4 linked regions of the Xenopus tropicalis genome follow. The protein of the gene in region 1 purifies or fractionates together with the protein of each later gene. This does not show direct contact. Links are inferred from orthologs where the notes say so. Each region holds a gene or a part of one and is shown in the gene's direction. Other genes may lie near its edges.

What was found.
Region 2: the proteins of ift88 (region 1) and hspb11 purify together in Homo sapiens (affinity purification with mass spectrometry; 3 studies listed by BioGRID and IntAct, with this or other methods). This does not show direct contact. The link is inferred for Xenopus tropicalis from reciprocal best matches to the Homo sapiens genes IFT88 and IFT25.
Region 3: the proteins of ift88 (region 1) and ift81 fractionate together in Homo sapiens (co-fractionation; 3 studies listed by BioGRID and IntAct, with this or other methods). This does not show direct contact. The link is inferred for Xenopus tropicalis from reciprocal best matches to the Homo sapiens genes IFT88 and IFT81.
Region 4: the proteins of ift88 (region 1) and ift57 purify together in Homo sapiens (affinity purification with mass spectrometry; 3 studies listed by BioGRID and IntAct, counting the BioPlex papers as one, with this or other methods). This does not show direct contact. The link is inferred for Xenopus tropicalis from reciprocal best matches to the Homo sapiens genes IFT88 and IFT57.

The regions. Positions count from the first base shown.
Region 1 is NC_030678.2:158,960,526-158,964,879, forward strand, and holds the start of ift88 (intraflagellar transport protein 88 homolog), read left to right. Parts: upstream 1-1,516; 5' UTR 1,517-1,681; intron 1,682-1,722; exon of another isoform or gene 1,723-1,821; intron 1,822-4,354. UniProt on the Homo sapiens protein: Positively regulates primary cilium biogenesis. Also involved in autophagy since it is required for trafficking of ATG16L and the expansion of the autophagic compartment.
Region 2 is NC_030680.2:97,386,797-97,391,036, reverse strand, and holds the start of hspb11 (intraflagellar transport protein 25 homolog), read left to right. Parts: upstream 1-1,412; 5' UTR 1,413-1,513; coding exon 1,514-1,614; intron 1,615-2,846; coding exon 2,847-2,953; intron 2,954-3,584; coding exon 3,585-3,653; intron 3,654-4,240. Other genes in the region: lrrc42 (leucine-rich repeat-containing protein 42), read right to left, coding at 1-237. UniProt on the Homo sapiens protein: Component of the IFT complex B required for sonic hedgehog/SHH signaling.
Region 3 is NC_030677.2:162,587,987-162,591,550, forward strand, and holds part of ift81 (intraflagellar transport protein 81 homolog), read left to right. Parts: coding exon 1-27; intron 28-387; coding exon 388-472; intron 473-1,000; coding exon 1,001-1,164; intron 1,165-2,735; coding exon 2,736-2,828; intron 2,829-3,564. UniProt on the Homo sapiens protein: Component of the intraflagellar transport (IFT) complex B: together with IFT74, forms a tubulin-binding module that specifically mediates transport of tubulin within the cilium. Binds tubulin via its CH (calponin-homology)-like region.
Region 4 is NC_030678.2:103,607,918-103,611,981, reverse strand, and holds the start of ift57 (intraflagellar transport protein 57 homolog), read left to right. Parts: upstream 1-1,254; 5' UTR 1,255-1,332; coding exon of another isoform or gene 1,333-1,404; coding exon 1,405-1,487; intron 1,488-1,626; coding exon 1,627-1,789; intron 1,790-1,872; coding exon 1,873-1,991; intron 1,992-3,175; coding exon 3,176-3,266; intron 3,267-4,064. UniProt on the Homo sapiens protein: Required for the formation of cilia. Plays an indirect role in sonic hedgehog signaling, cilia being required for all activity of the hedgehog pathway.

The DNA.
Region 1 (4,354 bases):
GGTATAGTTTTTGTTTGTTTGTTGAGTTGCAGACAACCAAATATGCAACAAAGAAGGCCACATCAGTTTAGGAACACTAGTTTTTTTTTTAAGAATCACTTTAAAGTTTATAAGGACAGGAAAATATTAATCTAAGTGTGGGCTGTATTGCTAAAGTAGGTGTGACTATTCACATAGGTTTATAAACAAACCAGAAAAAACACAGGGAAAATGTCCACTGACCTGCAATGAACTCATTTTGACAGATTAACAAAGCAGTGAAGTGAAAAGAACTGGCTAGGATACAACAGAGGTGTTACACTAACACTGTTATGTATTATGGAAAAAAAAACGACAAAGTTAAAAAAATAAATTCCTTTACTTAGTATTGCTCTGGCCATTCCAGGTTCTGTAACCTTGTCCAGTTATACTGCTATAAAGCAACACAAACATACAAAAAGTAAACATTCGCCTATAACTAGTGTTCCCACCTGTTTTGGAAAAAAATACTGACCTTCCTATATTTTTGAATAATTTTTCATTATTAATAACATTGCCATTAAACATAATTTTTACTAGCCAGGCCGGTAAAATACCAGCCAGGTGGCAACCAGAGGCCCCCCCTTTAGATTAGAAGAACGGAGTTTCCATTTGAAGCAGCGTAGGTGGTTTTTCATGGTGAGGGCAGTGAGGTTGGGGAATGCCCTTCCTAGTGATGTGGTAATGGCAGATTCTGTTAATGTCTATAAGAGGGGCCTGGATGAGTTCTTGAACAAGCATAGTATCCAAGGCTATTGTTATACTAATATCTACAGTTAGTACTAGTGGTTGTATATACTGTATAGTTTATGGATATTATAGATTGGTAAGTATAGGTTGTGGGAGCTGGGTTTACTTGGAAGGGTTGAACTTGATGGACTCTATACTCTCTATACTATCAAGGGTTGAACTTGATGGACTCTTTAGTCCCCCCCCCCCCAGGCCCATGCCTCTTTTGCCTACCCCTATTTCCTGACCTGCCTCCCCACCTCTGGATGGAAGGCATGGAACACTGGCTGGGTGGTGCGTTATCTTAGGTACACCTAGAAGCCCATCTTGAAGGTCTGTTAGAATGAAATTTAGGAGTCTTCCTTTATTATCTTCCCTCTCTATTAATAACATTGGCATCAAACATAATTTGCACCAGTCAGACCAGTAAAATACTGCCCATATATCAACCCTAGACACAAGTCACCACTTACGCTATCACTGTCTAGGTCCAGATTTTACCACTGGACCATAACCTTCTTCCTCCGTCCTCAATAAAGCCCCCTTACAGGTCAGTGATTTAATATGATAGGTTTAATAAGGTCTGATAAAAGTACAAATGGGGCCTTAAATTACTTTCTAAAAGAATTTCAATATGAATTAAAAATCATTGTTGCGCACTTTCTGAGGTAACCCCTGCACTTTTCCCTACAACTTCACGGTGACGCGCAGACTTTAGTCGGTACCCGTACGTGCGCGCCCCCGGCGGCTAAACGGTTGCCTAGCAACGACGAGACGCTTCCCGCAGAACCCGTCACGAATTCCGAGCCAATCGCTGGCTTGTATTAGATACTGAGGGGCATGATGGGAATTTTCTCCATGGAGCTGCATAAGGCGTCAACAGACTGAAAGTGCTCATAGTGTAAGCGCCGTGAAGAACCATATAAGTAAACGGGTAAGGAGCTTACTACTGCCTGCAGTTTGATATAAGCACGGGTCTTCTAATATAATAATAATAATAATAATAAATTGTCTGGTTCGATATCGCTTTACAAAAAGTAAGGATCGGCCGTGTGAGGGGAATGCAGATAATTGGTGAGTTTGTTGTAGAGGAGAGCTCCAGTCTCTGTTAGCAGGCTGGGAGGGGATGCTGGGAAGGGGATGCTGGGAAGGGGATGCTGGGAAGGGAATGCTGGGAGGGGATGCTGGGAAGGGAATGCTGGGAAGGGAATGCTGGGAAGGGAATGCTGGGAAGGGGATGTTGGGAAGGGGATGTTGGGAAGGGAATGCTGGGAGGGGATGCTGGGAAGGGGATGCTGGGAAGGGAATGCTGGGAGGGGATGCTGGGAAGGGAATGCTGGGAAGGGAATGCTGGGAAGGGGATGCTGGGAAGGGGATGCTGGGAAGGGGATGCTGGGAAGGGAATGCTGGGAAGGGAATGCTGGGAAGGGGATGCTGGGAAGGGGATGCTGGGAAGGGGATGCTGGGAAGGGGATGCTGGGAAGGGGATGCTGGGAAGGGAATGCTGGAAGGGAATGCTGGGAAGGGAATGCTGGGAAGGGGATGCTGGGAAGGGAATGCTGGAAGGGAATGCTGGGAAGGGGATGCTGGGAAGGGAATGCTGGAAGGGGATGCTGGGAAGGGGATGCTGGGAAGGGGATGCTGGAAGGGAATGCTGGGAAGGGGATGCTGGAAGGGAATGCTGGGAAGGGAATGCTGGGAAGGGGATGCTGGGAAGGGGATGCTGGAAGGGGATGCTGGGAAGGGGATGCTGGAAGGGAATGCTGGGAAGGGAATGCTGGAAGGGAATGCTGGGAAGGGAATGCTGGGAAGGGGATGCTGGAAAGGGGATGCTGGAAGGGAATGCTGGGAAGGGGATGCTGGGAGTTGTATGTGGAGGGACACAGTTGGGCCTCACTAAGCTGAATGCCAGGCACTAGTACCTCTGTAATGTAAGCTCCCAGTAATAACAATAATAACATAGGTGCAGCCCAGATGTTCACTGAAATGTGCCAAAATACATAGTAGATTTGGAGATAATATAATATAAAACAGACAAAAGTTTAATCTTTTGCCCAAAAGAAACCTACCAATTGTCTAGTTGTTCCAGAGCTGAAATATCCCCATCAGTGCCATATCTGCTTTCCCTTAGAAAATTATTACTGATCCTAGAGGAACAATCTGAGCAGTCCCTGTCTGGGCAACTTGTACTAATCATTTACAGAGAGCTATGCATATATGTTCATATGTGGCTTTAAATCGGTAATAATAGCAACACTTGTAAGAAAGCCATTCCTACATTGTGAAAGTTGGAATAAATTGGGGAGTGGTTGTCATTTTTTACTGTTATTGAAATACATAATGGTGATATTAAAGTTGAACCAAGGTAAAAATATCTGCTGTGATTTTAATCCCCAACTTTCTACCCCAGGCCGGTACAACCAGCACTGTTACTATGTAGTAACATAGTAAGTTAGGTTGAAAAAAAGACATACGTCCTTCAAGTTTAACCACAATGCCTATATATAATCTGCCTAATTGCTAGTTGATCCAGAGGAAAGAATAAAACCCCACCTGAAGCCTCTCTAATTTGCTGCAGTGGGGAAAAAATTCCTTCCTGACTCCAAGATGGCAATCGGACCAGTCCCTGGATCAACTTGTACTAAGAGCTATCTCCCATACCCCTGTATTCCCTCACTTGTACTGAGAGCTATCTCCCATACCCCTGTATTCCCTCACTTGTACTGAGAGCTATCTCCCATAACCCTGTATTCCCTCACTTGTACTGAGAGCTATCTCCCCTACCCCTGTATTCCCTCACTTGTACTGAGAGCTATCTCCCCTACCCCTGTATTCCCTCACTTGTACTAAGAGCTATCTCCCATACCCCTGTATTCCCTCACTTGTACTGAGAGCTATCTCCCCTACCCCTGTATTCCCTCACTTGTACTGAGAGCTATCTCCCCTACCCCTGTATTCCCTCACTTGTACTGAGAGCTATCTCCCCTACCCCTGTATTCCCTCACTTGTACTGAGAGCTATCCCCCCTACCCCTGTATTCCCTCACTTGTACTGAGAGCTATCTCCCCTACCCCTGTATTCCCTCACTTGTACTGAGAGCTATCTCCCATACCCCTGTATTCCCTCACTTGTACTGAGAGCTATCTCCCCTACCTCTGTATTCCCTCACTTGTACTGAGAGCTATCTCCCCTACCCCTGTATTCCCTCACTTGTACTGAGAGCTATCTCCCATACCCCTGTATTCCCTCACTTGTACTGAGAGCTATCTCCCATAACCCTGTATTCCCTCACTTGTACTGAGAGCTATCTCCCATACCCCTGTATTCCCTCACTTGTACTGAGAGCTATCTCCCCTACCCCTGTATTCCCTCACTTGTACTGAGAGCTATCTCCCCTACCCCTGTATTCCCTCACTTGTACTGAGAGCTATCTCCCCTACCTCTGTATTCCCTCACTTGTACTGAGAGCTATCTCCCCTACCCCTGTATTCCCTCACTTGTACTGAGAGCTATCTCCCATACCCCTGTATTCCCTCACTTGTACTGAGAGCTATCTCCCATAACCCTGTATTCCCTCACTTGTACTGAGAGCTATCTCCCATACCCC
Region 2 (4,240 bases), on another chromosome or scaffold:
GGCAGAGTAGCGTAAGCTTCCCTCCTTAGTATATGTAAAAATAAAAGGTTTCTGCCTGTGTCTTGAGGTATCTTCTTGCTTCCCACATAGTTCCACTGAGAATCCTTTAGAGAAAAGGCGGCATGGGCGAGTCCTGAGCTCAGAGACATGTGACCCAACAACTGACAGCTTTCCTCTCTCTCGCACATAAACCGGTCCTGTCTCCTCGTTCCTCTCTGGCTCAAGGCACTGAAACATCTTCTTACAGGAAAAGAAAAAAAGTTTTAAGCAAATGTAATATTCCATTCTAACTTAGCAATTGTTTATTGGTGTAATAGGGTAATGCCCCTTCAGTTTATTAGAAGTGATCTCACCTTACCTTTCATCCGCAAAAACTAAGTAGTTTTGTTTCACTGCTGTTTATTAAGGACACTGCATCTTGTCTGAATGACAGAGGTTTTCACTAGAAAGTATTTAGGTCAAAGCTATTTATTTCCAATTAAAATTGTGACTCATGCAGACTCTTTATATATTTATATGCTTACAAAATCTAGCTTGTCCTGAAACAAGATAAAAATAAGACTAAATTGAAACACTGAGCTGTAAATCTCACCCCATACATCTAGATGAAATAAATCACAATGAAAAAGGGGCTATGGAAAACAATATATATAATAATATATATGACCATCTTTAATAAGATATATATTGCCAATGTAAAAGAAAATGTAGAGTCCATATGTGCAGATAGAGCAAGGGAACACATATTAGCAATGGGTGCCTTTATAAACAAAGTAAATTAAGAATGCAAAGGTGATTATAATTCAAAAAGGAAAAAGCAGAGCTATAGCCTAACACTGTTGTTTTCTAACAACTTCTTTGGACCCTACAGTCCTGCACTGGCTAAAACTAGGCTAGTTCATAAGAATGTCAATATAAAACAGTGATAATTACAAGGTAACGGTGCATTATATTAAAGTTCTTTTTTGTGTAAGATTACCATCAAAGATGATATTTACTGAATACACATGCTGTAAGTTGGGTGTCGTGCATGACCGCACACAAACCCTTGATTCAAAATGAATGTTAATGGTTCTGTAATTCAAGGCAGCGCTGTACAGTAACTTCCTATTCCAATCGGTTTACAGTCTAAATCAAATGCTAATTCTCCTAGGAAATGAAGGAGCTTCCCATCTCAAATCCACAAGCATAAAGAATAAAAAAAAAAACTTCCGAGTGTGAGTTTTGATCACCACACGCTCATGGTGACACCATAACGGACAATATTTACACATAAACTATAAAACCAGAGACTCACCTCTCTGCAGAGACCAGTAAACTGCACCCGGAACGTCTGCTCTACGGAACCTTCCCCCCCGGCCGCGCACACTATATACGCTAACTCGGGAACACAGCTCTGGCACCGGAAGACGTTCCAAATTGCTAGGCAACGGCGTAACAACAGGGGGGAAAGTAAGTGGAGCGAATGTGAAGGGGCTGCTTGTTAGTTCCACGCCAAAGCCACGGCCTGAGCATGACACGGGCAGGGGACTTGTGCCTGAGTTGTGCCGGAGCCCGGGTCACACTGGCTACCAGCAGCGATGACAGACACCCGGCAGACAACATTATAGACGGGTGGGTATTGATGTGCTCAGGCTTTCTCCATTAGTAGTACAGCCATGCCGGCTGCTGCGGGGATATTATTCTCACAATGTAATGTTCCCAGTAGTTTTTGTTGGCTACCTGTGGCAAAATGTTCCTGTTTGCAATTTTTCTAAAAGCTGTAGTGTGTGTTATAGTGCTTGAGCTTGGGCAAGTACTGATAAATAACTAATAGCATACAAATAAATAGAGGACCTAGACATTAAAGAAATAGTTCAGTGTAAAAATGAAACTGGGTAAAATGGATGGCCTGCGCAAAATACAAAATTTTTGCAATATAATTAGGCAAAAATGTAATCTATAAAGGCTGGAGTGGGCAGATGTCTAACATAATAGCCAGAACTTTACTTTTTGCTTTCAGCTCTCTAACCTCTTATGGTGGCCATACACACTAAGATCTGCTCGCTTGGCGAGGTTGCCAAGCAAGTGGATGTTCTCTTGATATCCCCAACTATGGGTGGGCGATATCTGGCTAATTCGGTCGTTTGGCCAACATAGGCATCTGCAGGATCCAACTGATTTTTAAACCTGCCCGATCAATATCTGCCCCATTTCAGGCCAGATGTTGGTCGGGCAGACCCGTCTTTAGTGCCCATACATGGGCCGATAAGCTGGCGAATTGGTCTTAAAGGACCGATATCGGCAGCTAGAATTGGCCCGTGTATGGCAGCCTTTAGTTAGTCAGTGACTTTACGGGGGGGGGGGGGGGGCTAGGGGGCTAGGGACATGGGACATAACTGTTCAGTTAGTTTGTGAGCACGCAGGTCAGATTCAGTAGCAAACTGAACAGTTATGTCCCATATGCCACCCCCCTCAAGCCACTGATTAGTTACTTTGACCGGCCCTGTCAGCACTGTAATTGTAAAATATTTGAAGGAGCTTGCGTCACTCAAAACATTGATGCACAAGTGGTTTCTATAAATGTGTTATTTTTTCCCCACCTACTTCTCACGATGTCACTTCCTGTTTATTAGTGGTCAGGTTGTGGGTAAGGCAGTTGCAGATCAGGTAAAGGGCCAAAGCACGTAAAAATGCAGGGCAGAGGTCTGGGTTGGGTTTCAAAAATTGCGCAGGAGTCTATCAGGGCCTACTTCAGATCCTAGTATGTACCTGGTTGCATTGGTATGTTGGGCTCAACCAGATAATACTGTTCAGACTTTGTTTTTCTCTCATACAGTTACATAATTATGTTATGTTTTGTTTAGAAACCCAGACACATTCTGGACAACGACTGGTATGTATCCTCAAGAATTCATAATCAGTTTGAATGGCATTCAGAAAATTAACAAGATCATCCTCCAGAGCTCATTAGGTAAAATGGAGAAATCATAAATTTAGTTTTTGCTTCTTCATCTTTGGCAGTTAACTTTGAATATTATTGTGTAACTGATCGTACCATGTATTTCAACTTTACTTCATGTCATAATATTATAATGCAATAAAAGTATAGGTTGTTCCCTAGAAGCCCATAAATTTATATTTTTCATTGTGCCACTCTCAGGCTTTGAATTTTAACTGGTTGCTAAGGCTTACCTGTCTAGGAAATCAGGCATCAGTTTAGATGTTAGGATGGAAGATGAAAGTAGTGGGATAACAATGCAAAAATGGTGAAATATAAAGTATGGCTGCTGGATCAGTGACCCCATAAAACACAGAGATTTTTTTTGTTGCAGGGCAGAAAGAAGTAGGATAGCGAATAATTAAAAACCAGAATAAATAAGAAAGTAGACCGTTTGAAAAGTTGCTTAAAATAGGTCTATCGACAACATACTAAAATTGTTTTAAAGGTAAACCTCCTCTGTAACTCTTTTTCCCACATGGTTGAACTCTTCATTTATCTTTATACTTACTGGTGTTTTTGCTCTCTGCAGTTAACTAAATGCATTTATGACTCACATTTCATAATTTTATTTTATTATTCCTTTGGCCTTTATGGTTTTCAGTACGATCTGTAAGAATTGAATCAAGCACATCCAAAGAACCTGTAAACTTTGAGCTCCGTCTAGAAAGAGGTAAGCAATTAAACATGCACCATATTTAAATTTGATAAACATTCTGTATTGTGTAACATATGCAACTTTAATGAACTATAGAAGACACTTGGAAGATAAGCAGTAGGATTCATGATACCCTTAAAAGAGTGGGGTACTACATGTTAAGACTTTTTTTTGACAAAACAAACTTTTTTAGATATGTGGCATTTTATATGTTTACATTTGTAAATGCAGTGTTTTCCTGAAAATGATTGATAATAAACGTACTTAAGCATAGTGTAATGCTGGCAAAAGAAGCCTTTTGCCCACCAGCAGTCACAGATCTTCAGCTGGCTTCATCTGTAGTTTCAGAAGTTTCCTATTTCTAGTCAAATATTTTCTTCTGAACAATTCTTGGAGAAAATGATAATGAATTAGGGATCATTTTAGATAACAAACAACCATCTGCAAAGTGCAAAAAAAAAAGGCCCGGATGGGTGTGTCTTGCACACAGCCTTTTGGTCTTTGCGAATTGCAGCAGGTCACTGTGTTCTGTTTTGGAGTGCTGTATTGGTGAGGTGAGCTTGTTGGTGCTATATTGGAGGCGCCTATGTTTCTTACCCCTA
Region 3 (3,564 bases), on another chromosome or scaffold:
CAGCAGAAACAAGAACAGAAGAATCAGGTATATACCACCCTGACCCACTTATATAGTTTTAGACTGGTTGCTTTAACTTGCATGCTTTAACAGATTTGGTAATAAAGATTACAAACGTAAGGTAAGTATTTGAACATATGGACAGAAACTTTTGTGTACATATTGTGTACAGACCATACTGTATACAAACCATAATTTTACATTTTAGATTTTTAACAGGATAAAAATAATAATAATGTAGCCTAATAATAAGCTTCCCTAAGTTTCTAATTACCACATAAATTTCAGTGCAGTTCTCATGGGATACATCATGAGATAATTTTTTTAATGTTTTTCTATAATTGTGAATGCTATTCTGCTTTCCATACATTTGGCTTTGTTTTGAAGCTGTTTCATGCAGAACAGAGGCTGCAAAGAGCACAACTTCAGCTGAAGAATATGCGCAATGCTGCTGCAGATGCAAAACCTGAAGGTTGGTAAAAGCACATTTTTTTTTTTAAACTAATGTGTATACATTTGGTCAGTATCCACTGTTCTACTTCCTGCTGCCTGCCCAGGCTGTGCAGGGAAGCTCGTGGCATTCAGCACAATGCACTGTAGGATAGGAACCAATCAGCTTACCTAATAGCAAACCAAAGCCTTTCTTTGCTTGTGTGAATGCAGGGCTGTGATTTGCTATCACCTTACTACTGTGTTTCTGACAGGGAACGTTAGAACAAGCCCCCCCCCCCTCACTGTAAACACAGAGACCATATCAAATCCATAGGGCGCACCAATAAATGGGCCATTTTAATAATGGCCCATTATTAATAATTATTAATATAAAATAATAATTATTTTTAGCCCAGAGTAAAATATGCACCATTTATTTTTAATTATTGCCTACATGATTCAGGGGAGGTTCACTTATGCTATATGTCTCCTTTATAAATGTTGCCTTCTTAATTGTTTTTATAGATTGTTTGATAAAAATAATATTTGGGTTTTATATTCTGTCAAGGTCTTATGAAAAGACTGGAAGAGGAAATGAAATTTCATTCATATATGGTTTCTGAAAAGCTTCCGAAAGAACTAGAGAGCAAACGGCAGACTTTGCATTTCCAGCAGAAAGTTGTCTCAGAGCCAGCAATGAGTCAAGCTGATCTAACTGAGCTTGAAGAAAAGGTATATGTAATTTTCCTGTTATGTACTGAGAGGTAGTAGTTTGTTTTAGGAGACACCTTGGACAAGCAGATATTTCTTTATTAGGTTGTTCCAGATGTAAAGAGGGGATGTACAAATATATACAACGATACATAGATTCTTGACTGGTTTGTCTGCCTATTGGCAATGAAAAGTGGAGCCATAACTGCATTGTACATTTAGTTGTGCAAATAAATTTCTCTCCCTCACCCCCTTACGCTTACTCTTCTTCTTATCTGTTTTCTTACTTCTCTTGCAATTTACCTTTTATTTTAATCATGTTATCCCTGGAAATTCCCTTTCCACCTTTCAAATGACTTTTCTTCTCACCTTCTTGTTTTTTGTCTCACACATTTGTCTTTTCTTCTCACATCTTGTTTTTCTTTATCTTCTCTGCCCTTCTGTATTCCCTATCTGATCATTTCTCCTTTTTTTTCTCCAGACCTTTTCTGTTTCTCTAACTATTTTTGTCCCCATAGTAAGCACTGATTTACTTTTTAAAATTTTCCTTTTCTACACCTCTCAATCTTACCCCTTCCCTATGTGGTTTAAAAGTACAATAACACCAAACAATTAAAGTCTTTTAAAGCATACAGTTGTCCTGCACTGGTAAAGCTGGTGTGTTTTCTTCAGAAGTGCTACTGTAATTGATATCAGTATACGCATATACGCTCAGTAGAATTCAATGAATTCAAATTCCTGTGTAGAAATAAACCCATTGTATTCTACAGAACTTATCTGCTGTTTTGCCATTTAGCCCTATTTCAACTTGAATGGCTCCCTTTGGGGCTACACAGCAGTTTTTTATATAAACTAGTGCTTCTGAAGCAAACACACAATTTTTACAAGTACAGGGCAACAAAACATACTACAGGTTTGGGATCCGTTATTCAGAAAGTTACAAATTACGGAAAGGTCATCTACCATAGACTCCATTATAAGCAAATAATCCTAATTTTTAAAATTGATTTCCCTTTTCTCTGTAATAATAAAACAGTACCTTGTACTTGATCCCAGTTAAAATATAATTAATCCCTACTGGGGACAAAACAAGCCTATTGGGTTTATTCAATATTTAAATGATTTTTAGCAGACTTAAGTTGTGAAGATCCAAATAACGGAAAGATCCCTTATCCGGAAAACCCCAGGTCCCGAGCATTCTGTATAACAGGTCCCATACCTGTATTTGAATTACTTGGTTTTGAATGTAACTACAGTTCTAATTAAAATGTCTTGGTAACACATTTTACCCTTTAAGTGCAATATTCCTGCTTTTTTCCTGTGGCAGAAACCTACACTGTACTAGAGCTGTTTTTTCCTAGCAGTGTGCTGGGTGTTCCCCCTGGACAATGTTCTGACTATATTTAAAGTGCAATAACATATTATACATACAAATATATTGTTTCCCTGTAAAGCAATAATTTTTCCTAGGTAGTAGGCCTTGCATTTTTAAATACAAAATATCTGAAAGTCTAGCTTGTACTGAAAAGAACTTTCTGAGCATGTACCGAATGATAAAAAGAAATATTGTATGATTTCTTTTCATTTTTAAGATCCATGAAGTAAATTTGCAGATTAATCAGCTGATTGAAAATCGAATGAGAAATGATCCAATGGATGACAAACTGTCTCTTTTTCGGCAACAGGTAATGAAAAGATTTTTATTAAAGGAACAGTAACACCAAAAAATGAAAGAGCTTTAAAGTAATAAAAATATAATGCACTGTTGCCCTGCACTGGTAAAACTGGTGTGTTTGCTACAGTAACACTACTATAATTTATATAATAAGCTGCTGTGTAGCCACGGGGGCAGCCATTCAAGCTGGAAAAAAGGAGAAAAGGCACAGGTTACATAGCAGATAACAGATAAGCTCTGTAGAATACAATAGTGTTTTATCTGTTATCTGCTATGTGCCTGTGCCTTTTCTTCTTTGAATGGCTGCCTCCATGGCTACATAGCAGCTTATTTATATAAATTATAGTAGACGTTCTGAAGTAAACACACAACTTTTACCAGTGCAGGGCAGCAGCACATTATATTTTAGTTACTTTTATACACTTTCATTTTTTGGTGTTACTGTTCCTTTAACATTTACCAACTTGTGAAGCATTTATTTTATTTACTGTATTGAATACAAGGTAATACACCTCTAGGCTCAGCAAACTAAATGAACAGACTGTCATTTTAAAAGGTTTATGCAGGGCTGGATTTCAATTGAGGGTGTCTAAACTGGGATTCAGAATAGGCTGTGGCATTTCCAGTACACAGAGGCCCAAACAGCCCACCAATAGCCCAATAAATAGTAACTGTCTATGGCATCTTACAGCAGCCCCAGTGGCATTTGCCTGGATCCACAGATTGCCAGTACAGGCCTCCTGGAT
Region 4 (4,064 bases), about 55 Mb from region 1:
CATAAAAGTAAGCTTTTTTAGTAGTATGTGCTATTGGGTAATGCTAAATAGAAAACTGCCATTTTAAGAATTAAAGGCCACCCCTGGGATCATTGGATTCACAGTGCACACAAACAAGCCAAGACACACATACTGCTAGGCCCCATCAGCCAATGAATGGACAGTTCTGCCTTTTACTCCCACACTTCTTCCTGTTACAGTTAGAGCTGCATTATTCCCGGTCATGTGATCTCTGAGGGAGCCCACAGCCCTTTACAAAAATGGTGGATCAAGGGAAAGATGTAAAAGGGCAATATTTACTGATATATATATATATATATATATATATATATATATATATAATATTCCAGTTTGGTGAGATTCTTTAATAGGTCACTTGACATAATATAAACTGTCTGGATAAGTATTCATTCTTTGGGTATAGTTTTCTTTAAAGTAAGTTACCAACAACCACCTTTAATATGGAATGCATATACAAATACTCAAATATAATACACAACATGCAAAGCAGACTTGCATAAAACATTTTCAGGGTATCCCTTGCTAAAGGTGGATGTTGGTAAGCAGGAACATAGCTTTTATTATTACAATTATTTTTATTAATTATAATTCCATATAGGCCCTCATATATTCATTCTTCATTTTGACATAAAAACAGATGCCTCATTGCAAAGGAAAATAATCATAGCAACCAGCAGTTTAAATATAAAACTGGAGAACTGTAGAGCAAAATATAGCAAAACCCACAAAAAGTAAGACCAGCAGGCACTGAATTATAAATCGAACTTTCTTTTAATTGTTCCGATCACTGGCAGGGATGTAAATATTATAACAGATCAATGCACCAGAGCCCCCCCTCCCCCTTTAGATTAGAGGAACGGAGCTTCCACTTGAAGCAGCGTAGGTGGTGGAGGTCGTGGAATGTCATTCCTAGTGATGTTGTAATGGCAGATTCTGTTAATGCCTTTAAAAGGGGCCTGGATGGGTTCTTGCACAAGCATAGTAGTATTGATGTTGGTATGTATGGTTTGTGTATGTGAGTGTATAGATAGGTCAGTATAGGTTTGTGGGTGCTGGGTTCGATTGGATGGGTAGAATTTGATGGACTCTGGTCTTATTTTCAACTCAACTATGTAACTGTGTAAATTTAAATATATTCCAAAATAATGAAACAAGGAATAACTGGGAAAAACATGAGTTACAGCTCAGCACAGAAAATGTTTGATTTAATGTTAATTTTATGCTTTTTATTTTAGATAATCTCTTCTATATTAAATTCTCTTAAGTGCGCTTTAATTTGAAATCAAACACCCCGCTGGCAAACCTTTAACAATGTCAGAGGACAGTAGAAGAGTGGAGGATGATGATCGCGGTCCTGGTGCTGCATATCAAGCTTTTCTAATGATGGAGGATTTATTGGACAAGTTAAAGCTACTCAGTTATGAAGATGAGGTTCTAAGAAAGCAAAACATGAAACCACTTTCCAGGTAAGAAAGAAATATTGATATACAGGTATAGGATCCATTATCCGTAATCCCATTATCCAGAAAGGTTTGCTGAAGAAGACCACTGCAGCTCTACAAACTTAATTCAACAGTCTAAAATCTGTTTGTTTTATATTAACAGGCACTACTTTGCTTTACCTACAAACCCTGGGGAGCAGTTCTATATGTTTTGCACACTTGCTGCTTGGCTTATAAGTAAAGCTGGACATCATTTTGATCAGCCACAAGAGTATGATGACCCAAATGCCACCATCTCCAATATTCTATCAGAGTTAAGATCATTTGTAAGTTTTCAGTTTTAATTTTCATCTTTTGTGCTTTTTTTGGAGTCTTTAATCTGATAATTTTTTTTTGGCTTTTTTTGCAGGGATATTCTGTAGATTTTCCACCTTCTAGGCTAAAGGCAGGGTATGGAGAACAAGTGTGCTATGTGCTTGATTGTTTTGCAGAGGAAGTCTTAAAACATATTCACTTCAGCTGGAAGAGGTTGGTTATGTTTTCTATTGGATAGTATTGTTTGTAGATTGTACATTAGATTGGACCTTTATAGATTCAGTATGTGTGTGTAACCTGTACAGCTACTGTACACTCTCCAGGCATTCCTTTTGTCTCTGATAGTGGCCTTGCATGTTGGCTCAGCAGCAACTACTGTTGTATTTATATGTGCATGTTTATTTTTAACAGCTATGTTATGTTCTATAAGAGAGGTTATCTTGGTGAATGACATTTGGCCACTGTATATTACCTAGCCAATTGCATTCTTAAAATCCGCTATGCCAAGAATGGCTGGGGCAGATTTATTATTGTTTGAGCCATTCAGCTTGAGGAATCTTTAAAGGAAACCCTGCGTAAGTTTAGGAACTCACAGGGCTTTCGGGGGCAAAAAGGCCTCATTAGTTGAGGTATTTTTCACCTAAAAGCTGCCAAACTTTTTCTTATTTAAGAAAGCCCGCTGGTAGAAAAATACCTCAATGAAAGTTTTTTTTTTTTCCCCGAAACCCTGCATGAGTTTAAAAAACTAATATTGTCATCATGAGCTCTTGACACTGTTTCTGGAGCACATACTTTCTTTCTCTCCCCACTTAAGAAGCCCATGAACAACTGAAAAAGTTTCTAGAATGTCACTGCTACATCCTAATTATAGGTTTTTAAAAATCTTACCTTTCATTGGTTAAATAACCATACCCCAGGAAGATTTCAGATGCAGGGGCATTTAAATAGGTTTTTATATAATCCACAGAGAAAAGAGAATATAATATTACACATGCTTTTTGGTGGAAGCACTCCATGACTCCGCAAAATGTTAACAAGTAGGGGCCCTAATTCATATGTGCTTTGTAAACTGATGATAAATGTTGCATGGTCTGAGTGCCAGAGCATTAAAATGACAATATAATTATAATAGTTATAGTTTGTTTATTCACAGTAATAGCCTACTACCTGATTTTGTTTCAGAAATTATTTTAAAGAATAGTAAATAAAGTAAGTTAACATTAGAAAGATTATTATATGCTGGTGCCTGTTAAGAGGGGGTGTTAGTGATGATAAATAAAGTAAATGATGCAGGGGAAAGCAGAAAGTAGTATATTTGTAGGGTTCTCAGTGTAAGATTTTTATAAGTATGTTTATTGTATCTAATCTGTCCGTTGCCATGTTCTGTATCATTATAGGCCTACATACCCAACAGAAGAGCAAGACGAAGAAAATGTAATTGAGGACGATGCTGAGTTGACTTTAAACAAAATTGAAGATGAAATTGCTGTGAGTATCTGCACGGCTTTTGTATTTTAATGCAATTTGTATCCCTAAAGGCACAGTCAGTTAGAATTGGTAAAAAATAATAGGGATAGAAATATGAAACAATCCTAGTTTTAGTTTAAGCTAGGTTTAAATATCTTGTAGCTCTCTGTTCCATAAGAATCCACTGGTTCTGCCCACTGCAAGATTGCTGGCATTGCAAAATGTGACCATGCATGGGAATGCCCAGATTGCACCTTTCTGACTGTTTGACCCAGGCCACATCATGTGGAATTTCAACTGCTAACTACTGTGGGTCAGAACATGACCCTATACATGAGCAGGTAATGGTCATTTTTCAGAAATGAGGGAGTCAGTTTGATAACATATTGGGTCGGATTCACTAAAGGTGGTTAACACGTAACGCATAGTTTTGTGCATTAAAAAGTGTTCGATAATTAAGTACCGAATCATCAAAGTCTTTTTTCATTCGTTACTACTCATATCGCATGTGCAAAAAGCCTGATTATGGCAAAGCGTTATTTCCATCGCATTGAGGTAATTATTGAATAGAAATAATACTAACGTGTAATTCACAAACATATTTGAAGCATTAAAAGCATAAAATGTGGCGATAATTACTGTGAAACTTAACGCCACCCACGAGTAGGCGTTACTAAACAAAATTGCAGCTGGTGATTGTCTGTGGTGACAAAATGGACTTGTCATGCATCCTCCAGTTTTCAGGGAAATGGTAATTTTCAGAACAGTAGTTTTCAGAAAGTAACGGTTACGTGCGCAATAGCGTGCGCTAATATCGCG